Rattus norvegicus: one gene and its partners. The protein of the gene in region 1 interacts with the protein of each later gene in a pairwise test. Links are inferred from orthologs where the notes say so. Each region holds a gene or a part of one and is shown on either strand. Other genes may lie near its edges.

What was found.
Region 2: the proteins of Otx1 (region 1) and Vwc2l interact in binary tests that used the Homo sapiens proteins (3 or more experiments, as listed by UniProt). The two-hybrid records come from large-scale screens. The link is inferred for Rattus norvegicus from reciprocal best matches to the Homo sapiens genes OTX1 and VWC2L.
Region 3: the proteins of Otx1 (region 1) and Comp interact in binary tests that used the Homo sapiens proteins (3 or more experiments, as listed by UniProt). The two-hybrid records come from large-scale screens. The link is inferred for Rattus norvegicus from reciprocal best matches to the Homo sapiens genes OTX1 and COMP.
Region 4: the proteins of Otx1 (region 1) and Spry1 interact in binary tests that used the Homo sapiens proteins (3 or more experiments, as listed by UniProt). The two-hybrid records come from large-scale screens. The link is inferred for Rattus norvegicus from reciprocal best matches to the Homo sapiens genes OTX1 and SPRY1.
Region 5: the proteins of Otx1 (region 1) and Rgs17 interact in binary tests that used the Homo sapiens proteins (3 or more experiments, as listed by UniProt). The two-hybrid records come from large-scale screens. The link is inferred for Rattus norvegicus from reciprocal best matches to the Homo sapiens genes OTX1 and RGS17.
Region 6: the proteins of Otx1 (region 1) and Tns2 interact in binary tests that used the Homo sapiens proteins (3 or more experiments, as listed by UniProt). The two-hybrid records come from large-scale screens. The link is inferred for Rattus norvegicus from reciprocal best matches to the Homo sapiens genes OTX1 and TNS2.
Region 7: the proteins of Otx1 (region 1) and Rgs20 interact in binary tests that used the Homo sapiens proteins (3 or more experiments, as listed by UniProt). The two-hybrid records come from large-scale screens. The link is inferred for Rattus norvegicus from reciprocal best matches to the Homo sapiens genes OTX1 and RGS20.

The regions. Positions count from the first base shown.
Region 1 is NC_086032.1:100,287,622-100,291,686, reverse strand, and holds the start of Otx1 (homeobox protein OTX1), read left to right. Parts: upstream 1-1,265; 5' UTR 1,266-1,408; intron 1,409-1,717; coding exon of another isoform or gene 1,718-2,037; intron 2,038-2,084; coding exon of another isoform or gene 2,085-2,172; intron 2,173-2,500; exon of another isoform or gene 2,501-2,783; intron 2,784-3,417; 5' UTR 3,418-3,526; coding exon 3,527-3,623; intron 3,624-4,065. Other genes in the region: collagen alpha-1(III) chain-like, read right to left, coding at 1-34, 211-445, 626-860, 1,718-2,037, 2,085-2,172. UniProt on the Homo sapiens protein: Probably plays a role in the development of the brain and the sense organs. Can bind to the BCD target sequence (BTS): 5'-TCTAATCCC-3'.
Region 2 is NC_086027.1:79,705,954-79,709,453, forward strand, and holds part of Vwc2l (von Willebrand factor C domain-containing protein 2-like isoform 1 precursor), read left to right. Parts: coding exon 1-293; intron 294-3,500.
Region 3 is NC_086034.1:19,086,749-19,090,795, reverse strand, and holds the start of Comp (cartilage oligomeric matrix protein precursor), read left to right. Parts: upstream 1-1,247; 5' UTR 1,248-1,253; coding exon 1,254-1,329; intron 1,330-1,543; coding exon 1,544-1,629; intron 1,630-2,048; coding exon 2,049-2,100; intron 2,101-2,460; coding exon 2,461-2,630; exon of another isoform or gene 2,631-3,160; coding exon of another isoform or gene 3,161-3,232; intron 3,233-3,374; coding exon 3,375-3,512; intron 3,513-3,680; coding exon 3,681-3,755; intron 3,756-3,831; coding exon 3,832-3,990; intron 3,991-4,047. UniProt on the Homo sapiens protein: Plays a role in the structural integrity of cartilage via its interaction with other extracellular matrix proteins such as the collagens and fibronectin.
Region 4 is NC_086020.1:122,484,144-122,488,258, forward strand, and holds the start of Spry1 (protein sprouty homolog 1), read left to right. Parts: upstream 1-1,315; 5' UTR 1,316-1,356; intron 1,357-1,770; 5' UTR 1,771-2,059; intron 2,060-3,807; coding exon of another isoform or gene 3,808-3,862; coding exon 3,863-4,115. UniProt on the Homo sapiens protein: Inhibits fibroblast growth factor (FGF)-induced retinal lens fiber differentiation, probably by inhibiting FGF-mediated phosphorylation of ERK1/2. Inhibits TGFB-induced epithelial-to-mesenchymal transition in lens epithelial cells.
Region 5 is NC_086019.1:44,649,946-44,653,445, reverse strand, and holds part of Rgs17 (regulator of G-protein signaling 17), read left to right. Parts: intron 1-1,172; coding exon 1,173-1,262; intron 1,263-3,260; coding exon 3,261-3,495; intron 3,496-3,500. UniProt on the Homo sapiens protein: Regulates G protein-coupled receptor signaling cascades, including signaling via muscarinic acetylcholine receptor CHRM2 and dopamine receptor DRD2.
Region 6 is NC_086025.1:135,111,170-135,115,358, reverse strand, and holds the start of Tns2 (tensin-2), read right to left. Parts: upstream 2,801-4,189; 5' UTR 2,599-2,800; coding exon 2,524-2,598; intron 1,098-2,523; coding exon 989-1,097; intron 564-988; coding exon 526-563; intron 1-525. UniProt on the Homo sapiens protein: Tyrosine-protein phosphatase which regulates cell motility, proliferation and muscle-response to insulin. Phosphatase activity is mediated by binding to phosphatidylinositol-3,4,5-triphosphate (PtdIns(3,4,5)P3) via the SH2 domain.
Region 7 is NC_086023.1:19,280,842-19,285,048, forward strand, and holds the start of Rgs20 (regulator of G-protein signaling 20), read left to right. Parts: upstream 1-1,407; 5' UTR 1,408-1,515; coding exon 1,516-1,683; intron 1,684-4,207. UniProt on the Homo sapiens protein: Inhibits signal transduction by increasing the GTPase activity of G protein alpha subunits thereby driving them into their inactive GDP-bound form.

The DNA of each region.
Region 1 (4,065 bases):
CACGCACACACTGTGGTTCAAACTTTTCACCCGCCTGTTGGGGTGAAAGTGGCAGAAGATGAGGAGAAAGGACTAGGAAAGGGTGTGAATGTGGTCCCTAGTAGTCAGTAGGAGATGCCATGCTTTAAAAAAAAAAAAAGAAAGAAAGAAAGAAAGAAAGAAAGAAAGAAAGAAAGAAAGAAAGAAAGAAAGAAAGAAAGAAAGAATTGCCTTGTTCGGGGTTGGGCCGAAAATATTCTTTCCTCTCGCTTTGGAAAGTACACACAGGTAGACGATCTCGGCAAGTTTATTCGGCTGGAACCTGGGGTCCGCCAGTACGAACAATCCGGGGAAATTATTTCGAGGAGGCTCCTCCAGGAATGTGTAGAAAATGAAGTGAGGGGGATCGGAGTGTGTGGCCACATTTCCCACCGGACTGTCCTTTGTAGGTGCAGACCTGGAGAGACTGAGAGAGTGGAGAGTGTGAAAAAGAAAGTTTTCTATCAAACCCATTCAGTGTGTGTGTGTGTGTGTGTGTGTGTGTGTGTGTGTGTGTGTGTGTGTGTGTGTGTGTGTGTGTGTGTGTGTGTGTAAGATCTGAGTTCCAACGGTTCCGAAGAAGCAAGCTTTTAGGACGTGCGAACACCTTTGGTGGGGACTGCCTGAGAGCCCCTGGAGACGCTGAGCAGCTGGGAAGTGGCGGCGTCTCCCCAGCCGGCGCTCTTTCTGGGCGCCAGAGTCCCAGGGCGCCCCGGGGCGCCCTGAGCGCCGAGAGCTGCACCCCATCCCAGGCTCCGGCTCAGCAGCCCGAGCCCGCACGAGCCGCCCGCGGTGGCCGCAGGTTGTGGGGAACGGAGGAAGCACTGGGGCCCAGGGCGCAGCTAGGAGTGCCAGGGGCCAGCACGCCCCGAATCCGCGGCCCGGGAAGCCTGGCGCCCACAGAGCGGCGGCAGAGCCCGGCGGCGCGCGCGCGCGAGCAGGAACCGGTTATCCAGCAGCTTGACGCCACTCCTCCGGAGCGCGGCCCGGGCGAGGGGAGGGTGGGGGCCCTCGGGCGAGCCTTGGGACCCGGGGCCCCCTCTGCGCCTGCGACTCCAGCGCTGCCTTCACCCTCCTCGACTCCTTCTGAGCGGAATTTGCCACCCGAGCTCCGGAGTTAGCGCGCGACCGGGGCGGGGCCGGCGCGCGGGGAGGGAGGGGGTGGGAGCGAGGGAGGGCGGGGGCGCGCGGAGGTAACCCCGGCTCGCGCTGCCATTGCCCGGCTTCCTGTCACTCAGTCCGCTCTAGGCCCCCTATTGGCGGCCGGGCCCCGTTACGCACTCGCCTCGCGTTCACATACTCGGGGAGGGCAGTAGAAAGGTGATCAATCTTCATCAGGCTACATTTCCAATCACCTAAACAACCGAGCAAGACAAGCCACTCCGACAAGGTAAATTGCTTGATTTATTTAGTTTGCCAAGTGACTATGCAGGATTTCTCCAATCCCTACCGCCTCCGGGTTGCACCGAGAGTGCAGCTGCCACCTCAAGCCACCTCCTAACTCTGTCCCTCGAACACCCCCACCCACCCACCCCACCCCCCGGGTCCCGGGCGAGGCCGGGTCTTGGGAGGAAAAGCATGTGGGACTTTGCAAACAAAGTGTTTGTGCAATAAAGTGAAACCCGGAGGGACACGCACAGAGCTACTGGGAAAAAAAAATGCAGGAGACGGGAAGAGGGAAGTTGGGGAAGAGGAAAACCTGGGGTCCTAGCCCCGCCGCCGGGGTAACACCTGTGCGCCTCCGTTTTGCAGGTTGGCTGCCCGCGGGTCTCGGTGAGGGCGCGAGGTAGATGGTGAAGAGCCGCGGCAGCCGAGGGCAGGTAAGGAGGGAGTCGCGGGGCCGCGCGCCACCCGGGACGATGGTGGCCCCTCTCGCCTCCCCCTCCTGGAATCCACCCTCGCTACCGCGGTCCCCTGCAGGTGGGCGGGGCTGGGGTGAGAGACCAGGCGCCCCTAGGCAGCCCGAGGGACCCCAAGCCGCGCGGGAGCCGGCCGCCCCCTCCCCCGCCTCCTCCGAAGCTGCGGAGCCGGGGTGCTAAGTTAGACGAAAGTACTCGAAAACTCACGCCGCAGCCGGACAGAGCCGCGGCGGCTGCGGGCCTGTGGCCCTTCCGCCCAAGCGCCTCGGGTCCTTCCCTTCCCTTCGCCTCCCATGCTCACTGGGCCCCCTCAGTCCAGGCTTCGGGTCCCCTAGGACTGAAGCGTGGGGGAAGGAGTTGTGAAGGGGGAGCTGCTTTAGTCCTACCTTCCTTTCTCCCCAGAATCTCCCACCCTTGGGTCCTGGCAGAGCGGGAAGTAGCTACGAGCCCCCCTCCCCACGGCGGTCCCAGTCGTAACCCCCAGAAGCCACCACCCCCCCTTTTTTTTGCTGGGGGAGAGCTGTGTGGGCTCGCAGTGTCTGCGCCGAGCCTCGCGCTCCCAGGTTGGCTGTGAGTGAGTTTTACAACCTGAGGCCTAGTTCCTTGCTCTCCATCGGGTTCAGAGAGGACGGCGGGAGAGAGGCGACCTGCAACGCTCGGCCTTCCGAAATCCCTAGCATGTTTGGGGCACTGGGTTGATCATCTTTTATCAAACCCCGGTGGGACGCGGTGTGCTCAGCAGACTTGGTAGAAGGAAGGCCCGGCCTGCGCCAGCAAAGGAAGAGGGGTGACCGTCTTGGAGGTACCCCTGACCTTGAGCGGCGTCCTGAAACTGCCACTTCTACCGTGGCTCCTTTGGAGTCTTGTTGCCGCCTTATCCTGGCCTGGGCCGCATCTGCCCTGGAGGTGCGGTGGGATTCATGTTCATCTCTCTTGGCGTCAGGGACCCAGAGAGGTCAGCTAGAAAGGTGATTGCAGGCTCTGGGTAGGAGGCAGCCCTGAAGATCTTTGAAGAAATGACATGGCCAGTGAGCCTCGGGGATCCGAGGTGTACCCACCTTGGGCCTCTGTATTGCTTTGCCATTTTGTCCCTCTTTCAAAAAAAAAAAAAAAAACATTTCAAACTAAACGAAATAACCCCGTATCTCTCTGTGCGGCCTGCCCTCTCGGCGCCAAATGAACATTTGCTTGAGCAAATTGCTTCCGCCGCACTAAAAAAATTTGACTACACTTGGGATTTTGCACCCTTCGCGGTCTCGGCTCTCACCTCCTCAGCCTGATCACGCTTTAACTTTCCTTCCTGTTGACACTCGAGGAGTGTCTTTGGCCCTTGTCAAGCCCTAAAAGAGGAAGGAACGAAGCGGGGAAAGTTTACTTTCTTGAGAAGCTGTGTGGCTGCCGAGCTAAAGGAGGAGACATTTCTCTCGGGTTGCCTGCTGTGCAGTTCCTAGCATGCGCCCCCTCCCCATTCAAGGATTATAGGAGCTGAAAGCCAAACTGACTACGGGTGAAGGTTTCCATGTGTCTCCTGTCTCCCTAGGCCAGGCCCCAAGAAGCAACAGCTTGAAGGACGTCGCAGTGGGAGCCCTGAACTGCTCCTGGCCTCAGGCCCCCTGGATCCGTCGGGGCGCCTCCACCCGGCTGTTAGCATGATGTCTTACCTCAAACAACCCCCATACGGCATGAACGGGCTGGGCCTAGCTGGCCCTGCCATGGACCTCCTGCACCCTTCCGTGGGCTACCCTGGTGAGCAGTGGCCCTCTGTCCCTACCCCCCAAGCCTCTGGAAATATTGGGGGTTCCATCCCCTAAAGTTTGAGCCCACGCTGTCCCCCGACAGACCCAGGAGGGTGATTAGCACGCTGCCTGTTGCCTAGATCTGTTACAGGCAGATCTGGAGCCAAGGTCTGCTCAGAGAGCTTAGAAACTGCAGCCTACAACTTTTGCTCTGTGGAGTCTGCGACCTGGGTCCTCTTGTGTCCGCTTGCTAAGGAGGGCATGTTCTCCCCGCACCCCTCCCTCAATTTATTTCCCTCGGTTGCTTTTTCTAATTTTTTTTTTTTTACAAAAAATTCCTTCCCTCGTTCCAATATTTCATGCGGAATCTGGGCTTTCGCTAGGCCCCAACAGCCAAATTTTCCTTAGGTCTAGTTTCCCTGAGAAGCAGTTCTTTCTCCCTAGTTAAAGAG
Region 2 (3,500 bases), on another chromosome or scaffold:
AAGGTGACCAGGCTTCCAGTAATGACAATCTGATCTTTGATGACTATCGAGGGAAAGGGTGTGTGGATGACAGCGGCTTTGTTTACAAGTTGGGAGAACGGTTTTTCCCAGGGCATTCCAACTGTCCGTGTGTCTGTGCCCTAGATGGACCTGTCTGTGACCAGCCGGAATGCCCTAAAATTCATCCGAAATGTACAAAAGTGGAACACAATGGATGCTGTCCTGAATGTAAAGAAGTGAAAAACTTTTGTGAATATCATGGGAAAAATTACAAAATCTTGGAGGAATTTAAGGTATGAGTTACCCTCCATATCTATTGAATTCTAATTTTTACTATAACATGCTTAGCAGATTATATTAAAAGAAAACCTAGAAAACATAAAATTCTACAACTCTGTAGAGTCAGTGTTTGACAGGAAGTCCTGTTAATTCATTGGTCAATACTCCACAGTAATGTTTTTTTTTTCAGAAGTGTTTAATATCTTCTCATTTTTAATGCTGAAAACCGTTCTTTCTGTGTTTTTACAAAATATGTTTTTAGAGAGTGCTGGTTTGGAGGATGCATCTATTAAATTAATTTTCATATTGTTAGTTTTCTGGCTTATGAGTCTGTATTTTGAGCCATCTACCAATGGTCTTGACATATTTGTTTGCTGTGTAGACATGTGTATGCTACAGAAAAGCACTCAGAGCTGTGATCTCTATATCAAGAAAGTGCACTGGGCCTACTTGTTATAGAGCAGGGTTCAGCTCTGCTCGCCGGATGTTTTATTCACAGGACTTCAAAGAGAACTGAATTTTTGTCATGGCCTTCAAAAAGAGAAAAGTCAACCTTTCAATTACATGACACTTAGTTTTCCTTTCATCCTTCATGTCTCATTTTAAAACAACATGGAGTTTGCTTTTATTTCTTCTGGAGTTCTCTTTTATCTGATGGCCTATTTTAATTAGAATGTCCTACAAGCCATATGAGTCCTAAGAGCACGAATTAATCTACCAAGAATATCTTAGTTAATTGTAGTGACAGTTTGTGTCTTGAAGTATCTTTCATGCTGAAAGCTTAATATGAAAGGGTCTTATTATATCAAAGTTCTGTGACATAGGGTTTATAGCATTACAGGTTTAAAAAAAAAGTTACAGCTGGTCCTAAGTGTGCTTGTTTAAATTTGAAAAAGAATGTTCAGGTTTTCAACCTGAACTAACTACTCTTTCTACATACTAAGCTGGTGGTAGAAGTGAGCATGTGGCAGGAAGGCTTGAAGTGTCATCGTTAGGGAGTGTGGTGTGTGGTTGTTTGATTATATTCATTCCATTCTGGGCCATGAGTTCAAGCTTGTTCTGGTTTACACGGGAATGCCCAGCCTTTTGTACTACGTTCTATTGCCTATAAGGAAAAGGGGCTTAAATGACTAAATCAACTTTGTTAGATATAAGTTTTATTCTAGAGATTTTTCTTTTGTATATTGTAAAATTGTGTTGTGTAGTTATTAAGTAAAAGTCAAACTACCCTGACACCAAATGGCAGTTAAGAGCATGCTATCTTATAGTGACTAATGACAATATGGTCTCTAAAATATTGTGTATACTTTGGCATAAGCTCTATTCACTTCTGGGTAGTGAGAGTAACTAAAATATTCAACACATTATAGTTTGTAGAGCCATGAACAAAATCTGTGGCCATCCCTATCTAATGTGCACATATATATTGAGTAGAAATTTTCTGGAAAGAACATTTAACTCAAACCAAGATCACATGAGATAGTTTTTGACAGATAAAATTTGGCAATCAGCATTTAATATATAAAACAATAGGTGGTCTGATTTATGAATTTTTTAACTTACCCTTAAAATGCTATAGTTTTCCCCCTCTATATACTAGATTTACTTAAACAAAAATATAACTTTGAGACCTAGGGAGATTCTTCAGTGGTTAGCAGCACTAGCTGCTCTTCCAGAGGACCTGGGTTTGTTTCCCAGCACCTACATGGCAGGTCACCATCTGTATCTCCAATCTCAGAGTATCCAATGGATACCCTCTTCTGGCCTCTTCAGGTACCAAGCATATATGCGGTACACTGACATACATGCAGGTCAGCACGCATGTACTTAGTAATAAATACAAACGTTAAAAGGTATCAGTGTTACCATCTCAGACAACACAATACATATGAACAAGACATTAATTATTCTTGTGCTTCTAGTTATAGCCCCAAACATAGCATAATTCTTCATGTAACATCCCTGAATAGCAAAGCACTTGTACCTATTTCTGCCAAAGGATTATTAAGAATATATATTTTAACTCTGCTTTATCTTGTGATAAACACATGGCCACAGAAATTTGTAGATATTATCTAAGACAAATTTGTTAGAAGGTAGAACTAAGACCAAGGAAGTTTGTTACCTCCCCCCCAAAGTCATCCATTTGTTTAACCTTTTCTTTATACTGCTTTCTTGCAATTAAATCTATTCAATGTCCCAAAAGACTTTTATGTCAAGGTCAGAAACAGCTGGATTTGAAGCCCAAATTCTTCAGTGAGATGTAAGTTCTGACCCACAATAGTAAGACTATAAAGTAGCCATTGTAATAAGTAGTTCCCTTGTAAAGAGATGCTTAAAAAATATTTAATGAAATCACTAGGCCTAGGACAATGGGAATGTTTGAGTTGAATAAAGAGTTCTTCTCCATTACAAATACATAGGTATTTATTATCAAATACATAGGTATTTACTCCAGGTTCTAAATTTTTCTGAGTCTTTCCTTATATTTTATAATTAAAATTCAACTTTAAATCATTTCTCAGATGGAGGAATTAAATACTTTCCATTAATGTTGTAGGTCTCCATATGAACTGAACATCTAAGCAAACACTAGCCAAATCCTGTCATCCTTACTTGTTCCCAACTTCCTCACCTGGAACAAGTAACCAATATTTAAAGATGCATAAAACGTACTTATAATGCTGTTGGTACGTCATTGAGGATGTTATAATGTGAAATATCCTTTACAATAACATATTCATCCAAAGAGCATTTGCCGTACCATTTGCTATTCATGATACTATGGAATCACCTGTTTTGAGCAATAAGGATCCTAGAAGTTAATGTGCTAACAGAAAGGGCATGATTAATGTCCAACTCAAATGAAAAGAAAAGCAGTAAAAAAATTGAGCTTAGAGACGAAGTGTGCTGGCATAGACACTTGCAATCTAAGCATTTTCGAATAGAAGGCAGGAGGATCATGGATTCACAAGGCCAGCCTCAGCCACACAGCAAGACCCTAACCTACAAAATAGAAATGGCATTTCATTTATGAATATAGTGACAGTATCTGTTCAAGATTCATGGTGTGAAATGCTTATCAACATATCACAAGGCTTGCCAAAACAAACAAACAAACAAACACAACAAACAACAAACAAACAAAACAAAACAAATATTTCTTCAAGTTGGTCAATGTTGGAGCTGTCTTTAGAATGATCAAAGTTGATACGGGGAGA
Region 3 (4,047 bases), on another chromosome or scaffold:
TTTCTGCTAGCCCCAAGATCTTGACAGCACACCTGAGGTCTATCCTGCAGCCCAGCCTCTTTCCTACTGAGGACAATTGAGCAGTTTCCACTATAGCCCTGCTGCCTCTGGGTCCTAGTGTAGCCATTTCCACACCCACCTCGGCTGCGTTTGACAGAGCCTGGTAACTGCTTCCTTCCAGTGTCTGTCCCCCAGCAGCTAGCTACCTAGCAGGGGATGTGACCCACAACAGGCACATTTGTTTGTGTAAAACATGGGTGTACCAGACATCTACACACACACCCTCCAACACGCACCCCGCCCCCCAACTGGAGCCACCTCACTGCTTTCCATGACTGATCTAAGGCCTTTATTCTCTTTGTTTCTTGTACTATCTGTCTCCTCCAGGCAGCCCTCCATGATTTCTTCTTGGAACAAGGGATCTTCCTGGGTTGCAGTGGCCCCAAGTGGGCCAGTCCCCCTCCCCCGAGCCCCAGCTTCTCTCTCTACAGACTGTAAGCTGTGAGTCCTGAAAGGCCAGGTGGAGAGGGTTAAAACTCCTGGAGGCTGAGGTGTTTTACAGCTCAGAGTGGGGCTGGCTCGGGAAAGGAAAATTTTCAGTTCTTTTTATGACAGGCTGTCTCCCCAGTGGCTGAGAAGCCAAGTTCAGCGCAGCCCAGTGAGAAGAGAACCCAGGGAAGCTGAGGTTCCCTCCTCCACCCATCCCCAGCACCGCTACTGTTTACTCAACTGTGCAAAAGGGGAAATTGAGGCACAGACATCATTTACTGAGGATTGTTTGTTTGGAGGTGGGGGTGGGGGTGCGGAGGAATTCAAGGCTTAACACCCTCATCCCTCACAACCTCCTGCTGACCCGGACTGAGCCACACCCATAGACCCCTTTTGCAGAAGGGGGTGTGGGGGCCAGAGTGGGAGACCTTTTGATTACTTGTGACTTTGTTTCCCCAATGTTATCTGAGGGGGCGGACGGAGATTGTATTGCATACAGCAGGCACTCAATGGTGAACCAGAGTGTTGGAGAACCCCACTTGACTCTCCAAGGCTCATGACTCTTTCTCTCCTCAGACCCCACCAGGTACTGATCAGCCGCGGGTCATCCCGCAGGGCCATGGGGCGCGGCCCTGAATGCAGAGCCTGGCCTGTTTACCTTGCGGCGGGCTCTGGGCAGGGCCGCGGGGGCTGTCCCGGACCCAGCGCGGGGATAAATAGGCCGCGGGCTTGAGGGCTCAGACAGCAGCTGCAGCTCCGTCGACATGAGCCCCACTGCCTGCGTTCTAGTGCTCGCCCTGGCTGCCTTGCGGGCTACCGGCCAGGGCCAGATCCCGCTGGGTAAAGCCGCTTAGTGAGGGGCATGGGTGGACAGAAGGCCCCTCAGTTCCCTCAAGGCTCATGATTCCTGCTCCTCGGAGCTTGGGGTCCGCTCTCCAGGAATGTCCGGGGTTCCTGAAAAATGAATCGGCGGGTGGAGCTTGGATGGCCCTAGAGGAGGCGGGAGGGGTGATGGAGTGGTTGGGTCGCCCATCACTGGCCCCTGTGGACGCAGGTGGAGACCTAGCCCCACAGATGCTTCGAGAACTCCAGGAGACTAATGCGGCGCTGCAAGACGTGAGAGAGCTCTTGCGACAGCAGGTAAGGAAACAGAGAGGCAGACAGCAGCGATGAGACAGAACAGGGACAGGGCACACAGAGGGGGCTGAGGACAGTAGAGAACAGAGAGGGAGACAGCGCCGGGTCAGAACAGGTGCAGGGGAACATCGCGGTGACGAGAAGGGAACAGAAGGGACAGAAAAGGACAGAGGAAAACAGCGCAAGAGCTGAGCTGACAGGGCGCGAGACAGAGCGGATGGAAACGGCTAGGGACAGGATGCCGGACTGGATGAACCTGGTCAGAGACAGGGAGACAGGGGCTCCGGAACGCGCTTGTACAAAGGCAGATTTAAAGGAGGTGGTTATGGGCACCGGGCTTCCGAGGAAGGGGGTCGTGGAAAGAGGAGGGGGACCGAGGAGAGGGGCTTGGGAAAGGGTCCCGCTGACTTCTTGCCGGGCAGGTCAAGGAGATCACCTTCCTGAAGAATACGGTGATGGAATGTGACGCTTGCGGTGAGCACAGCCCGGACCCAGGGGCGGAGGAAGGGTGGGGGCACAGAGTGGAAAGGAGGAAAAGGGCTGGGAAAGGAGGCTGGCGGGGGCGAAAGTGGACGGCGACCCAGCGGACTGGACGCGGGGAGATGCGCGGAGATCAGCTACAAGGCTGGAGGCTCGCACAGCCGCAGGGCGCACGCGCGAACATACCCAGTCCCAGCGTGGGCTAATTCGAGCCCCTTGGGGGCGTGGTCCCGAACGGCCCCACCCTGGGCGGGAGAAGCTCATCTTGTGGGCGGGGCCGGACAGGCACCTCCTCCGGGCGGAGCCCAGGATGGCTCCTATCCTGGGCGTGCCCTAACTTCTGTGGCTCTGCAGGAATGCAGCCCGCACGCACCCCCGGTCTGAGCGTGCGGCCAGTGCCGCTCTGCGCACCCGGCTCCTGCTTCCCTGGCGTAGTCTGCACGGAGACAGCTACCGGCGCGCGCTGCGGCCCCTGCCCTCCGGGCTACACCGGCAACGGCTCGCACTGCACCGACGTTAATGAGGTGCGCGGGCTCCCCACACCCCCGCCGTCCTGTTCCTACCCGGGCCGACCCCACCACAAATTCCCTCCATCCAGACGACGTCCCCCTCATCCACTGAGGGTATTCTCCTGGAGCAGCCCCTCGCAGCCCGGGACTCCAACCCAGAAGACCTCACGTCTAGCAGGGGGGCCCCACCCAGCTCAACTCCATCACTATATCAGACGCACGCTCTGACCACGCCTTTTGCCCATATCGACGCCCACTCCAACGACCCTTTGGACGCCGGGGGTGGCTCTCTCCAGCCCTTCCCCTCACCACTGGGGCTTGCTCGCCCGGACCACGTGTCTGCTTTGGAGAGTCGCCCTCGACGGGGTGATCGCTGCCGTGCTTGCAGGTCCAGGCGGCCACTTCCTCCCTCGGCTGGGGATGCCCGCCCCCCAAGTTCATTTTCTCATCCCTAAGAGGTCACAACTCCATGCCCATGAAGGCAAAGTCGTCAGCGACCCTCGGGTTCTTTATCCCGTGTGGCACCGTACTTCAAGAGCTGGCTGATGGCTCTTAAGCGCCCTGAAATGCAGAGGCTTGCCAATCCCTTTGAGTTCGAGGCCAGCCTGGTATACATGGTGTGTTCCAGAGCAGGGAGAGCTATGCAGTGAGATCCTGCCTCCAACAAAACAAACCCCTTGCCACATCCAGGAAGCCCCAAGGTCCGGGTTCTCTCTGTCCAGCTTTGGGCTCCTAATCCTGTGTGCTCCTTTCTCACAGTGCAACGCTCACCCCTGTTTCCCGCGCGTGCGGTGCATCAATACCAGCCCTGGCTTTCACTGCGAAGCCTGTCCCCCTGGGTTCAGCGGGCCCACCCACGAGGGTGTGGGGCTGACCTTCGCCAAGACCAACAAACAAGTAAGGGAAGCAAGGGACCCTACATTTACGGCAGGAGGGAATGAAAGGCATTTTGTCCAGAAAACTCGTTCTAGTGAGAAAGTTCTTGGAGGGGGGGCGGGCGCAGGTTACAAAGAGGCGTGACCCGTGTGAAACGTGTTTTGTCTGCCTGTGGTCTCCGTCCCCCAGGTTTGCACAGATATTAATGAGTGTGAGACCGGGCAGCACAATTGCGTTCCCAACTCCGTGTGCGTCAACACCCGGGTAAGGAAGGGACCGTGAGGTTGACCCCATCAAGGCGTGAGTGGGTGGCCCGCTGACGGCTCGCGCCTGCGCACAGGGCTCCTTCCAGTGCGGTCCCTGCCAGCCCGGCTTCGTGGGCGACCAGAGGTCAGGCTGCCAGCGGCGTGGGCAACACTTCTGCCCCGACGGGTCACCCAGCCCGTGCCATGAGAAAGCAGACTGTATTTTGGAGCGCGACGGCTCAAGGTCCTGCGTGGTGAGTGCAGGAGCATAGGGCGTGGAAGAGGGTCCCGGGGCTCCGGCGTGCCTGGAC
Region 4 (4,115 bases), on another chromosome or scaffold:
CATCCCCTTCCATGAAGGGTGAACAGGCAGCTTCTTGGCTTTTACTACATTTTGTTGCCTTCTAGTGCACTTTCTTGCGGCTGCTGTTCTGTGTAGGGAGTGCCTGGGTTCCTTGCATGTAATCCCACGCATAATTGTGAACACTAAAAAACATTCAAAAGCTTGGAAATGCAGTATGCCAATGGTCATAAAAATGTTTATCAAAATCCACTGCAATTGTTAAGACTTTAAAAAATTACTTTGAACCCAAACTATCCAAACTCCCGTTCACAGGTGATTTAGATCATGGAGTTCTGTTGTTGATCAAATACTGTTCCTGATAAAAATTCCCTGGAAAATTATTTTCCACTAACAATTTTTGAGGCCTTAGGTTATCTTTAAGATAAGCTTCGTGGAACTTTTAATTTCACATACATTCCTTTTCACTGCATCCTGAGCTATATCGTCCCCAGAATACATGTCCAAATTCCTTAGTTTGTAAAGAAGCGAAAAGCATTCCCTGGCTTACTAAAGTCCCCCACCCCGTGACAGACATGTGACAAAAGTTAAAACTTCCTGATGAGTTATGCTTATTTTACTAGATTAAAAATGTATTGGTGTTTTTGACAAAATTATACAAACATTACAAAACAGGAAGGAATTGGGTTCCCCCTCCCCCATGTAATTTTAGGGATCAAATCACAAACTAAATGAAGCAATCACTAAAACCCCACAGCAGGAATTTCCACTCTTCAGTGTGTAATTATATTGCATTTGCAGAAGTGACTGTCCTTTCTGGAACTTTCATATTTCGCATGATCTGTACTTCACACATTTTCCCTCTGTCTGGGGGCACGGTGGCATGGTGTACACGTTTTTTCCGTTGTTGTTGCTGTTTGCTTGTTTTTGCTTTTTAAATGTTCTTCACAACTCTTTTTAACTCAATTCTAAGGGTGAATCCACCAGTCCCCTTAAATCGGAGGCTGACAGCTCAAGACTGACAGGGCCCCTGAAACACCGGGTACTCCCCTGTTGCGCTTGCAGGATTTCTGCAGGCAATCAACTTTTTAAGAGCGTCCTCGAGTCCACATCCACGATCGCTAAAATCCTGCTCCGGGTTTTCGCGCAGCCCGCGTGATTGACACATGATATCACCGGGGGCGGGTCCCGGCGTGGAGGTGGAGGTGGCGGCGACGCTGAAATGCTGCGGAGCCCGCGCGCGAGTGCTCAGCACGCAGGGGTTTGCGGCGGCCCCGCAGCCAGAGCTCTGCGGGCTGAGGAGCTGCTGTGGGCGGCGTGCATGTGCCGGGAAGGCCGGCCCCAGGCTCTGCACTAGGTAAGAGCCTTCCCCTCCCGCCGAGGACCTGGCGAGATCAGGTGAGAATGGTGCTTTATTTTATTTTATTTTCTTGGAACTGGACGTTTTCTGAGCTGGCTCTAGCTCTGTGCCCGGCGCTCTACGGTCGGCCCTGAAGCGAGTTCCGTAGCCGGGCAGCGAGTTCCGTGTGTGCGAACGCGGGCTGGCACCGCCGCGCACCCGCGTGTCTGTGCGCATTGTTGGCGACCGACCCGCCGGGCGCTCGTGCCAGACCTGACTTTCCCCGTCCCTGCGTGCGGGCTTGCCTCTCGCAGACGCGTCGTTGGGACGCGCTTTTGACTGCGGGGCGTTCCGTGGGGGCAAAACGTGCACGGCCGCGTGTGTCCGGAGCTCGTGGCTGTCTACCACGGCGAGCAGGACAGCGTCCCGGGCTGGCGAGGGACTCACGTGTTTCTGTCTCTGCTCGTCTGCAGCCGGCGTGGCGACTGCGGGGACGCGGACCTGCGGGAACCCGAGAGCCCGGGACGACGCCGGGCCGCGCGCCTGACGACCGGGACGGGACGGTGCTGTGGAGCGGGCGCCGCGCGCACCCGGCGGATGTCCCCGAGCCGCCCTCGGCCGCCGCCAACCGCGGAGAAGCGCCCCTGCCCGGGGGCCGCTGAGGCCGCAGCGCGGGCCATGCGCGCCCGGCCGCCCCGCCGCGCTTGATGCGGCGCGCGCTTCGCCCGCTCCGCGCCCCCGGCCGGCGCCGTGGAGGCCGAGGTGAGTGCGGGCGGCAGGTGCGGGCCGGGGCGGGCCGGGCGGTCCTGGCGGTCTTCGCGCAGCCCGTGCCAAGCGCGCGGCACCCGATGGCGCTGGGGATCCAGCGCCCGCCTGTGCTCGGAGCGCAGTGCCGCGGGACGCGGGGAGAGGGCGCTGCCTCCTCCCGCCCGCGAGCTGTTTTCATTCATAACTTTCCCCCGCCGGACCTGCCGCGGCTGGGTGCCCCTGAGGTCTCGGCTTGGGGCCCAAGCGCCGGGCGGTGCTACCCACAGTGCTGTCCGCGCGCGCGCTCCGGCTTAGCTCTGGGCGGTTGCGGGGCGCCTAAGTGCTCCGCCTGAGCGAACTTGCTTGGGAATGCCCTGTAAAAATGCGAATGAAAGCTGTGCCTAGGGGTTTCATAGCTCAAACAAGCCGTTCCCACGTCTTCCTTTCTTGTGGATGAGGCTTGGCACATTTAAAGTCTTCGTTATGGAGTTTTAAATTTTTAAAAAATAGATAAGGCACAGAACGATGGGCAGGTTTCCGGTATCGTTTAGGAGTTCGGCACTAAAACTTGCTATGGATGTGTTTCTCGTGTGCAGAGAAGGTAGTTATAAGCTAGAGGGGCCTCCAAAAAGCTAACACATTTGTAGTCTAGGGGCATTTGTTAGTAAAGTGACTTATTCCTTAAGACTTTTTGTTTTGTTTTTGTTTTCCTTTGGATACCAGGAAAGTGCAGAGGGTTCCTTCTTGAATTAAGGTGCATCAATCTATCTGTAAGTTCGGAAGGCATTTGTGTGAAAAATATTCCAGAAACCTATCGCCCAGAAACGGAAAGAATTTGGTCTTTTTTTAGGAAGAATACGTTATAAGTAGGGAGTTATTTCTTCTTGACATGGAAACGTGTTTGTTGTATCAGTGTATCAGTATTTATTTTACTACAAAAAGCCGGTCTGTTCAGGGCTTATGAAAATCAAGGCCTGTCATGCAGGTAAATGAAAGGAAATACATATATTGTAAAAAAGACCAGGGTTCCTCTCCCCGCTTTAAAGGGCTGACACTGTGCATAACTTACCCTTGTTGTGTGGCGGGTGAGCCTTTAACGCCACACCGTAAGGGTTGCGTACGTGTGCCAGAGCATTCCTCGTTCTTTGTAGCTTCTTTTGCCCATCTCACAGATGTGTGTGGTGAGCTAGCCTCAGACCCTGACTTCTGCTGAAAGTGACCTTTGGAGATTCCGAGTGAGCTTGGAGCAGCCAGTGTTTTGGAAATTGGCCTTGATTAATTTTCTCATTAATCTGAAGCTCGTAACAGCATATAAACGGCCAAGAGGCCACAGCACTAAAACCATTCTTAATCTTCTAAAAAGTAGCTGACATTTTCCCTACGTGAACTGCCAGTGAACTGATCGTGAACTCTGAGAACAGTTCCAGAGCGCACACTGAGTGCTGCCTTCGAAGGCATATTTCATCTTAATTATTTGTTAGGTTTGCAAACAGGAAGACATGACTTCCTCTGCTTTTCAGAAGCTGGAGAGCAACTTCTAATTTTTAAGGCATGAGGTCTTTGCTTTCTTCCTGTGATACGGTCCTCTACAATCTTTTCTGGGAGTTGGACTCTGGCCAGGATTCTGCATCATTGGAATCAGCCGACGAAGGAGATCTTTACCATGTGGCTTGGGAAATTTGTTTCTTGACAGAAGCCCTTTCCCCCTCCCCCCCCAAAAAAACCGCTTTCTGCCGCTTATTTTCTCTTTCACTCTTCTTTAGGATTTCAGATGCATGGCAGATTTCCGCTGACTGCTGGAATTGGAGATCACTCCACATGGATTCCCCAAGTCAGCATGACAGCCACACTTCACTAGTGGTGATTCAGCCACCGGCTGTGGAAGGCCGGCAGAGGTTAGACTATGACAGGGACACCCAGCCTGCCACGATTCTGTCCCTAGACCAGATCAAAGCCATCAGAGGCAGCAATGAATACACAGAGGGACCTTCGGTAGCGAGAAGACCGGCTCCTCGAACTGCACCAAGACCCGAAAAGCAGGAAAGGACTCATGAAATCATACCAGCCAATG
Region 5 (3,500 bases), on another chromosome or scaffold:
GAAGTTCTAGCCTAACTTAAGATCTCTTCCACCGATGTCATTATCTCTAGGACCCTAGTTTCTGCCCCAAGGCACCATTAAGCTGAAGGGTACTTCATGCCAATCCACTCTCCTGGGTTAGTGGAGCACACAGGGCTTTCCCAGCTCCTGGCGTCTTACTCTGTGTCACAGTGCCGTCTCTTACTGCCTTCATTCCTGTTGCTGGGATGGAATATTCTGACAAATGCGACTTGAGGGAGAAAGGGCTTGTTTTTGCTCACAGTTCAAAATACAGTCTGTTATGGTCAGGAAGTCAAGTTAGCAGGACTTTGATGAAACTATCGAATCACAACCATAGTAAGAGAGGGGAGGGTGAATGCAAACATTTTTACATTGTCCAGCACCTATGGCTGAAGAACAACCCCACCCATAATCAAATTAGTTTCCCCACATCAATTGTCATAATAAAGATATTCCTCCCTCCCCTCTATACCCTTGGCCAGAGTCCCCTGTCCCAGATGGTTCTAGATCCTGTATAGGTGACAGTGGGAAGCAACCATCACGCTTACCCAATGGCCTCCTGCTCCGCACCCTCAGAATTTCTTCCTCGTCTCTGCCAAGACACTGGAGATTGACTGACATAGAATCCAGTGCAGCTGCTCAATCTCTCAAGATGGAGGAAAGAGATTCATGACAAAAATATGGCTTGGCTTAAGGGGAAGGCTGGTGCAGAAGTCTGCATTGACTTCTGGTGTATTCTACCTTCTTAGCTATTAATAAGGAGAAAGTAAATGAAAAAAACTGAACAGAATACAGCAAAATTCAAAATGGCTCTTGACTTTCTTAAAGGTAACACAATAATATGTCAAATATCAAAGCATATCCAGTCTTGAAACCATAAAGGTACAACTATGAAAAAGAATTTAAATAATTAGGTTACATATCATGGAGTCAGAGTGGATAGTAATATCTGTGTGAAGATTCTGATTTATTTTATGATTTATTTAAAAGTTAGTATAGACTTACCAACTTTCACACTCCACCACCATTTAAAAGTGTTATTCCTCTCTGTGTGTCTTTTGAATAATCCCACAAGGTCGGCAGTGAAAACCCCATGAGACATGGTTCTCCTGCGAAAGAGATGCTTTTCTTTGGCTTTTGCAATTGCCTTGACAAAGTGTGTTACATTACAGCCTCACTGTCAGGAATGAAGAAAGAGGAGACTCTTCGGGGAGACCCCCACACACCACCAAAATGGAGAGCATCCAGGTCCTAGAGGAATGGTGAGTGTTGGGGCAGGGAGAGTCAGTTCTGTGTTTAAAAGCCACGTACGTCCACCCAGTTCCCGAGCACCATCTCTCTGTGGTCCTCTCACAAATGGTTCTGTGAAATGAAAAGAGACTCAGCCTGAAAGGTCTCTTCTGTGATTGCAATGATTTCTCACTGGGTCTCCAAGCTGGCACATTGTCTCAGATGATCTTTCTCTGTTAGTAAAGACAATTGCATGAATTATCACAGACAAGCCTTAATTTTACTCTTGTTGGCTGAAAGTACTTCTTACTCATTGATCTTTTTAGCCGGTATACAGGTCTGTGTACCATGTTCATGCTCAGTTGACAGGGAAGCCTGAGTGGGACTTGAATACCCTGGAACTGGAGTTACACAGTAGTTGTTCACAGCCATTTGGGTACTGAGCATTGTACCTGGGTCCTCTGGAAGAGCAGTCTGTGTGCTCTTAACTGCTGAGCTATTCTTCCATCCCCACGGGAAATATTTTTAAAATTCATCTTCATTTTATAAGAGAAGGATCTGAACACCGCACATACACACACACACACACACACACACACACACACACACACAAACACACACGTACAAGTACACATGCACAGGTATACACTCTCTGGATGACCAAAATCAACCACTAAAAATACCCAGCTCACCAGATCCTGGTTTTGTAACCATCTGAACATACTTCATCAAAGTCTTTCTAAAATGAGAAGTTGAAAAGCAATTTTTAGAAGATAAAATTTAATTGTGAGTTGGTGGCTCACATCACTATAAATCTATAAATGCCTCCTTTTTTGCTTTTTATTGAAATTTTAATATTTGAATATGAGTCTCATTGTGATGTTAAACATTTGGACATTTAATTTTATTGAGAGAAAGTGTGTGTGTGTGTGTGTGTGTGTGTGTGTGTGTGCGTGTGTGCATCAGATGGATGTGTGTATGGATATACGTGTGGTCATGCTCTCCCATGTGTGTATTGTGGATCTTAGAGGGAAACACTAAGTGTCCATCTCTATCACTCTCTACCAATTTTTAAAGCAGGGTCTCTCGTTGAACCTGGAGCTCAAGGTTTTTGCTAACCCTACTGGTTTGTGAGTCCCCAGCGTCTGCCTCTCTCTCCTCTTTCCCCCAAACACTGGGGCACATCATCTTACCTGGCTTTTTACATGGGTGCTGGGAATTCGAACTCGGGTTCTCATGCTTAGAAAGCACTTTACCCACTGAACTGTCTCCCCAACCCCAAACCTAATATCATAAATGAATAAAGAGGTTTAGACATCATGGGACAGCGACAAATCTATTTAAAATCCTTGGTCAAAAAATTAAGAAAATTAAAACATAGTGCCCCTCCTAACCTAATATATATTTGAGACAAAAGCCAAGATTCTGTTAAAGATTTCTGTTAGAAAATAAAAATCTCCAAGACCTGTGCCTCTCCTCCTTTGGTGTGAGGACAAATGGACTGGTGACTGGTGATCTTGGCAATAGAGTAGTGATCTTTATTATATGTTGTCCAGAAAAATCCTTCTTGCTGTTCCAAAAGTCCTCTACCTTTCAAGGAATACTTTGAGCATTGGGGGGTGTTTTGTGCTCAATGAACAAAGTATATCCTTGTTTTAGGAATGGCTACTGGAGATGAAAAACCCTCTTATGGTTGGACAATGCAAATGAGGGAGAAAAAAAGGGGGTTCACAGTGTTCCCATCCATTTACAAGAAATTGCTAAGACACATCACCACTTGCAGAATTCATTAGGAGTGTCTGACAGCCATGGGCATGTGGGATGCACCCCCTTACAGTTCTAACCCTCAGCTCCCTTCCTTGCTTCTCGCACCCACTGGATCAATTTGTCAAGGCTCAAATCAAGCCAGGCGGAATGGCAAAATCCTGACCAGTAGAGGGCAGCACAAGACTACAAATTTGAAACCATCAGCTGCTTCTGCCAGCAGACGGGTCAATGTTGTTCCTAATGGCTTCATTCTGTCTCTGCAGCCAAAACCCCACTGCAGATGAAGTCTTGTCCTGGTCTCAGAATTTTGACAAGATGATGAAGGCTCCTGCAGGAAGAAACCTTTTCCGAGAGTTCCTCCGAACAGAATACAGCGAGGAGAACCTACTCTTCTGGCTGGCCTGTGAAGACTTAAAGAAGGAGCAGAACAAGAAAGCTGTTGAAGAAAAGGCCAGGATGATATACGAGGATTACATTTCTATACTGTCACCGAAAGAGGTAAG
Region 6 (4,189 bases), on another chromosome or scaffold:
CTTGAGGCCCTGGGACTATCCCCTGCACTGATGGAGGACCAGGAACGTTCCTCAGAGATGGGGGGCTGCCTCAGGGTCTCAGTGGACAGTGGGTACCACCTACAGGGTATACCCAAACAGGCTCAGCCATCACCACCCAGGATAAGACCAACTCAGGCATCCTGAGGACCCTTCCTCAGAGGGAAGGCACGGCCCATCCGGGTGCCTGGTCTCTGAAATCCTGCTCCCTCTCTATCCACCCCGCCCTTCCTCCCCCACAACTCACCCCCCCCCCCATCCTCTCGCCAGCTGCAGCCCGGGCACAGCACCAAGACAAACGCTGTCTCACTGTCCACCCTCCTGGGCCAACCCTCCAGGGGTGGAGTAGGGTGGTTCTTAAAGAGCCCAACACAACACCTCTGCCACCCAGGAAGGGGTCTCCAGGAGTGACAGGGGACTGGGTGGAAGACGATGCCAGTGTGGCTGAAGAAACCTGTTTGGGCAGGGAAAGACACCGTCCCCCATTAGCTAGGACTGGATACCCACCTTTGCTTCACATTTTCTGTGTGTGGCCACCTTGCAGACTAGAGAAAGGAAGGGGAGGATAGAGGTTAGCAGAGGCTATGGGAACAGTCAAAGTAGCTGTCCTCTAGTCCTCCAGGCCTTGGAAGCCAACCCTGGGACCCTAGTACACTGGGTCACTGGAGTCGAAGAACAGAGCTGGTTATCAGCAGGGAAGAGGGCCAGAGGTTGGCGTCTAAGATGAATAGAGGTGAGGAGGAAGAAGAGGAACAGGAGGAGGAGGAAGAGGAAGAGGAGGAGGAAGGGAAGCCCCTAGTCACAAAAGGATGGGAAGGTGGTCACAAATCTCCTGGGCGGTGGCAAGGTGGGTGTCAAGGGGACTGAGGGCATTTGTTTCTGAATTTGCCGGTCTCTAGAGCTAGAGTCACACAGCACAGAAGTGCTTACTGGAGGGCTCAACACCATAAGAACAGCAAGAGCCCCTCACCTCGGCACGAGACACCGGTCCCATCGATGGTCACCTTACACACTGCACACACTGGAGCCTTCTTCCGGAAAACCTTCTCCCGGAAGCTGTGCGGTTCTGCTTTCCTAGGCTGCGAGAGGGATGACAGACAAATAGGGTTATGAGTTCCTAGTGGGCCCATCTCCAAGGCTGGGCAGGGACCTTTCCTTAGAGCGACTGCATCCCTCTCTTCCAGCCAAAAGTCTCTGAACTCTAAGGCACACTTGGCCACAGCTGTTCCAGGGTAGTCATGAGGCCTGTCCTCTACAGGGCTTGGAATGTGACCCCTTGCGTCACCTTGGTTGGGTTAACTCCTCCCTGAGGGTTTACTCAGGCCTCCTCACGTGGAGGAGCTATGTGATGTCCTTGTCACCCCCACTTCAAATGCGAGGGCTTTCTGAGAATCTCGCTGAGTGAGGGGGTCTGACTCTCCTCTCCTCTTGCCCTCCCCACATGAGGCTCATATTCTGTGAGCTGACAGGCCGGCCCAGACACACAAGCGCTGTCCCATAACACCCAGACTGACTGCAGCCAGTCCTGAGCCCCTGACTCTCAAGGGCTCTAAGCTCCCGGCAGCTGATTCGGCCCCCTCCCCCACAGTCAGAACAACATGTTTACTCCTTGTGCATGGAGATGGCAGGCTGCAATTGTCTAAGACTCGGGTGGCAATGCTGGAAGGAAGAATGGCGGCAGGGACAGATGTGCAGCAGCTGTCTCACTGCCTCTGCATGTTATGACAGGGGCGGCCAGGTTCTCTGGATGCCCGAGCCACCCCCCACCCCCCGCCCCAGGTAGTGAGGTCAGTGACTGGCTGGGATGCCACAGGTTGTCCAGGTCCCCCTCAGTCCTCACTCACTAAAAGTTCTCTCTGCTACTCTGACCCCTCCCACCCCAATTCATCTCTCCTGTCCTCCAGTGTCTGTGGACAATCTCCCTCATGCCACAGAGGGGGGGGGGCCGCTTCTGCACAGGTCTTCATCCCTGTGTTCAAGCTCCTGCTGTTCCCTCCTCTCCCTGGATCTGCCCACCACAGTGTGGAGAGGAAAAGAACGGGGAAGGGGGGTTAGACAAGGTTGGACAACAACATGGGAGCAGCTTTGGTCCGGTAACTGTCCTAGAACTCCTCTGGACTGGAGGTGAGACCCACCAGGACACTTGGACACACTTGTGGATGATGTCATGTGCAGATTACATCAGTAGAAGGCAAACTCCCTGCCTTTCATTGCTTTCTTCCCCTACCTTTCCCGGGAGGTCAGGGCTTCAGCTCTTAGCTGAACCCTCGGGGCCTATTCAGGCTCAAGCCAGTAAACACTTAGAAGAAGCAAGACAGATGGTATATCACACTGCTACCCTAGCCACATGGGGAGCCAGGGGAAAGAGGAGGGGGTGCTGAGGCAGGGGAAGGGGTGGGAGAAGAGGCTGAAACTAGGAAGAGGGTCTGGCCTGAATCCTGGCCCTCCTGCCTTGTCCGAACTTCCACCCTGTCCCACCTTTGCCCAGCTGGTGGGCATTCCTACCCTGCTGGTGGCCCGGCTGCTGTCCCTCCTCCCCAGGGCTCTGAGCAACCTTTCCACAGGGCCGCTGGACTTCATGGTGTCTGGCTGGCTGGGCTCTTGGTTGCTGGGCCTGAACAATGCTGGGGCCTGGCCCGGGGCTTCCTGGAAGCAGCCTGGCCGAGGCAGCCGCTTCCCTTGGGTGGAGGGGAGGCTGTCTGGCTGGTGTGTGGAGAAGCCTGGCCCTGGAAGTGGAGGGAAGTGCAGGCGGGAAGGGGGCAGGTCGCTGCTCCAGGAAGTGGGGTGGGGGAGGATGTGGGGGAGGCCAGGAGATCAGATTCCCAGGATCTACCCTGCTGGGAGTGTCAGCCTAAGATCTTTGGCTCTCCCGAGCTCTGGTGCTGCCTCCCACCCAGTGGGCCACCGCATGCAGGGGTCTGTGGTCCTGAGATCCAGCCCTGGAATCAGCCAGTGGCGCAGGGTGGGAATTCAGGTCTCAGGGCAGGGCTCAAGGGCCAGTGGAGAACACTGTGTCCCCAGCCAGTCTCTAGCCTGAACCCTCATGGTCCCTTGGGACTTCCTGTGGGAAGGGAGTGTTGCTGGGAACCAGTACCCCTGATAGCCCAGCACTCCATATCCTCAGGGTGAAAGAAACTTAGGGATGAAGGTTAACTTCCCTGTCAGACAGAAAAGGATCTTGGAGTACTCTCCTCTACGCCAAGTTCCAGCCAGGAGGGCTAACCGCTTGCAGGAGTGGTCCACTTGCTGTAACCCAGAGCATTGGAGGCTCCTCCTGAAGACCTCAGCAGCTACTCCCCCCCCAGATACAACCCACAGTTCCAGGCTCAGTTCCCAGACCCTGCACCTGAGGCTCTACCGGGGACCCCACCCACCCATCGAAAGCTGAGCACTACCTTCATGGCTCTTCTGGCGGGTCTCTCCTTCCTCTGTGGCTGTCACTGGACCCAAGGACTGGACAGGAGGCCCCCTCCCAACACATACTCCACCCCCCTCTAGGGCCTCCTGCTTCCCTCCTGGGAATAGGGCCAACTTCCTGTCCCAGGAGTCAAGGGAAGGAGGTGGATGATGGGGCCTTGGAAAGGATGGAACAACCTTCCTAAAACAAGGGTCAACGGCCTGGGGGTTCTCAGCCCAAGCCCTTGACAGCAGCCTTTGGAATGCCGTAGCTGTCACTTGAAAGAATGTCACCCTCATGTGCATGGTATTTACTGAATGTCTCCGTGGTAACTCCTCTGGCTCTGGCTTCTCTTGCAGGGTTCCACAGGAGTCTCCCCCTCTGCCTCATGCCCACCTGACATGAAGGGCGGGTCTAATCCTCCCATGGACACTAAAGAAAACCTGTTAGACTGAAAAGTCCGATGCCTCTTCTTGCATGCTCCAATTCTCTAGGAAGCCTGTCACCACCGTACCCTGGCTAGAATGTAGCATGAGTGGCAAGGGGTGGGGCCCTGTCCTGTAACTGGAGAGGGCCCCTGGCTCTGCAGTCCCCACCTGAGTTCTGGCTGTGTCCCAGGACATTCCAGGCTGATGGCCAGGTGGGCGACTGGCTGTCCTGATTCAGCACCCAGCCCTGCTGGGGGAGATGGGTCACTGCAGTGCCTTCCCCGATCCATTTTTTCCCTTCTGCTCCTATGGTACACAGGCCTACTTCTGCAGCCTCTGGTGGGAC
Region 7 (4,207 bases), on another chromosome or scaffold:
ACCAACATGTCCTAGCTCAGTCTAACACAGACCTCCCCCTTTCCCTGTTATAATCAAAACCTGTAGTTATTTGCTGCTGTTTCTATGTGACTTGGATTCAGCTGCTCTTAGCCATGCTTTATAAAGGATCTCTTTGCATTTGTTTTTATGCTTCGAAATTGGTGTTTGTGTATGGTCTGTGCCTAACCTAGGGTGCTGAGGGGAGCACCCACAGTACAAGGGTCCCTTCAATCATAAGATGTCAAAACTATCTGAGGAGAGGATGGAGATTTGAAGCCAACACCTGAAAAACCAAATATGGAAATCCTTTCTTCCTACAACTTCCATTAATAACTTAGCAGTTATGGCCTGTGGGTTGAATATGAAAGAGGGTGAGATTGAAAGAGATGTTCTTATATTTCCAAATGTTCCTGTGCGCCACCCACGTGAAGTTTCTTTCATAACTCAGTTTGAATTCAAGCCTTGCCTGTTATATGACTATCACATAAAAAGCATGTATATATAATATTGTCTGTTTAAGCAAAATCTGAGTTACTGTTCGCCGCGCGCCTTTAAGTCTACAGCAGCGGAAAGCGAGAAGAGCAGGACATGAAGAACACGCAGTTTGCGAGGAAAGGACTGAGTGGCTCAGAGTTGCGGGCAAGGATAGTACACGAAAGCTGTACGATGGTAACATCCTCTCTCTGACACCATTTAGAATCATGTAGATGAACCCCTTGGCATGTCTGAGAGAGAGACATTCTAAATTGGGCTAACTGAAACGGGAAGACTCATCCTACACGTGGCTGATACTGTAACATGGCCAGGAGTGAAGAGCTAATTATTGTTCAGGACTGACTGCTATTCAGCCAGGTTCTTTGGACACAGGCAGGTACAGTCAATTCGTTGCCTGCCGTTCTCCAGCAATATCCACAGTCAGCCATTCGAGCTTAGCTGCTTCCTAGTCTAAACCTTTAGTGCTTTCCTCCCTGTGGACAAAGCCACCAAGCAGTTCCCTCCCTATACCGACAAAGCACGGAATAGCGGCTGACACGCCACGGAAGAGCAGCAGCATTGCTTCCACGGAACTCTGGGGGGCTTTGCTTTCATAAAGGCACAAAGGCATGGGGAAAATCAGAACAGTACTATGAACAGATGGGGGCTGCCTCAAAGGTCCCCTCAGATGGTTTTCACAACGCATCCATTTGTCATAGGGGCAGCTTGTTCTAACTCGAGACACTGAGCATTACAGCAGTGACTTATAAAGAAGAAACTTTCTTACTCACCTACAGAGGGCAGTCTTGGCATACACACTCAGTGGGCAGCTCTATCTGGAACGGAATGCTAAAATAGGTAGATAAGCCACTACTGATCCAGAGAAGGGATCAGCCTTTTACTTTGCTTAGAATAACATTGCAAGAAGGTCCCAGCAGACTCAGACATGGGCCAGCATTAGCCAGCCAAAGAACAGAGACGATACCTGGATGTTGGTAAAACCGGATGACAAGACTCCGGTAGGGCATTTGTTAGGAAAACATGCCCAGCCTTCCCCAAGGAAACCAAGGCTACCTGGAGGAGCATCTTTCCGGGCAGGCTGAGCAGGCACAGTTGCTGCCCCTGATCAGAGCAGAGAAAGATTCCAATTCCAGTATTCCCCAAGACCCAGAAAATAAAGGGGTCTCTCAGGCTGTGACTGGTGTCAAGGTAAGATGATCTCACAATCCCCACTGTCTTTGGCCGGGTAAAGGTTAACCCCTGAAGAATATAATGCCAGTAGCCAGTTTTATCGCAGTAGACTATGGGTGATTTATCAAGAATACTTTTGGAATAATTTACAGAAAACCTAAAAATTTGAAAACTACCTGGTGTCCAGTTTTCTCCACCCTAAACAGCTCTCTTTCACCATTGCTTTTTTTGTTGTTGCTGTGTTTTTGTTTTTTGTGGTTGTTCGTTTATTTGCTATGCTTTTGTGCTTGAGACTGAAGCCTTGGCCTCAGGCACACTGAGCGGGCGCTCAATCACTGAGCTACGTCCACAGAGTTTTGGCTGTTTGTTTTTTAGGTGATACTTTTTTTTTTCTTAAGCAGGAAATTTAGCTTCTTTAGCTGTTGCTACTAGTTCTTGAATGTTTTTCTCTGATAGAAATTGTGAAAGAAAATTAGACTTCTTTCTAAAAATATTATTACAAAATAATGAGAAGCTTCTATAGGAACATGAACATTAAAGATGTTAAATGTGTAGCTTCCTAAAGTGAGCTTCCCAAGTGTGAGTTTCTGACATTGATCATTTCTCCTATCCGGGGTTGTATGTTTCTTGGCAGAATGTACAGTGTGAGATGGCAAATTCTCTTAACTATTAATAAAGCACAACTGTTAATAAAAGGTTACAGTATGGAGAGGAATGGGCTCGTGTCCATGTTAAAAAAATAATTATCAGAGTTCAGAACTAAATGATGCAAAAGCAGACCACAGAAAACCTGTCCAAGTGAGTCAGCGCTGGAAGTCACAGTTGTTCCTGAGCCGTGGCCTACATCCTGAAAATGATCATTATATGGAACTCTGCACTTAATTCTCTAGACCTGCCCTGTGGTGGTATTTCAACTAATCGGTATGAGCAGAGGAAGGGTTAAAAGAAAATGAAAAATAAGTTTATTGTGAGTCTTTTTTTCTGTGGAAATAACTTTAATTTTCTGATATATGTGAGTACATCGTGAATCTGACACTCCAATTATTGTCGCCAACTAAGTACAGGACTTTATCTGATCAGCAGCTCATTCTCGAAGTTCTCAGATAAGAGTTTCGTTGTGTCGCTAAAACTGGCCTCAAACTCAAAATCCTACTGTCTTAGTCTCCCAGGTACTGTAGTTAAAAATGTGTGCCGCAACCAGTTAAGCATTAAGTCACCAAATTGAAATTAAAAGGAAAGATGTCATGATTAGGAGATCCTTATGCATTTTGAATATTTTAATTATCAGTGCCTCCCTTAACTCCTCCCAGATCCACACCCAGCTCCAGTTTTGTGTCTTTTTCTCTTTAATAACCCACCTACTAGGAGATCTTTATTAGCAAATATCTAAAAGCGAATAATAATCAAAAGAGATTTCTACAAGCTAAAAATTGGACATTATTCTTTTTTTTTTATTAACTTGAGTATTTCTTATATACATTTCGAGTGTTATTCCCTTTCCCGGTTTCCGGGCAAACATCCCCCTCCCCCCTCCCCTTCCTTATGGGTGTTCCCCTCCCAACCCTCCCCCCATTGCCGCCTTCCCCCGTAGTCTAGTTCACTGGGGGTTCAGTCTTAGCAGGACCCAGGGCTTCCCCTTCCACTGGTGCTCTTACTAGGATATTCATTGCTACCTATGGGGTCAGAGTCCAGGGTCAGTCCATGTATAGTCTTTAGGTAGTGGCTTAGTCCCTGGAAGCTCTGGTTGCTTGACATTGTTGTACATATGGGGTCTCGAGCCCCTTCAAGCTCTTCCAGTTCTTTCTCTGATTCCTTCAACGGGGGACCTATTCTCAGTTCAGTGGTTTGCTGCTGGCATTCGCCTCTGTATTTGCTGTATTCTGGCTGTGTCTCTCAGGAGCAATCTACATCCGGCTCCTGTCAGTCTGCACTTCTTTGCTTCATCCATCTTGTCTAATTGGGTAGCTGTATATGTATGGGCCACATGTGGGGCAGGCTCTGAATGGGTGTCCCTTCAGTCTCTGTTTTAATCTTTGCCTCTCCCTTCCCTGCCAAGGGTATTCTTTTTCCTCATTTAAAGAAGGAGTGAAGCATTCACATTTTGATCATCCGTCTTGAGTTTCGTTTGTTCTAGGGATCTAGGGTAATTCAAGCATTTGGGCTAATAGCCACTTATCAATGAGTGCATACCATGTATGTCTTTCTGTGGTTGGGTTAGCTCACTCAGGATCATATTTTCCAGTTCCAACCATTTGCCTACGAATCTCATAAACTCGTTGTTTTTGATAGCTGAGTAATATTCCATTGTGTAGATGTACCACATTTTCTGTATCCATTCCTCTGTTGAAGGGCATCTGGGTTCTTTCCAGTTTCTGGCTATTATAAATAAGGCTGCGATGAACATAGTGGAGCACGTGTCTCTTTTATATGTTGAGGCATCTTTTGGGTATATGCCCAAGAGAGTTATACCTGGATCCTCAGGCAGTTCAATGTCCAATTTTCTGAGGAACCTCCAGACTGATTTCCAGAATGGTTGTACCAG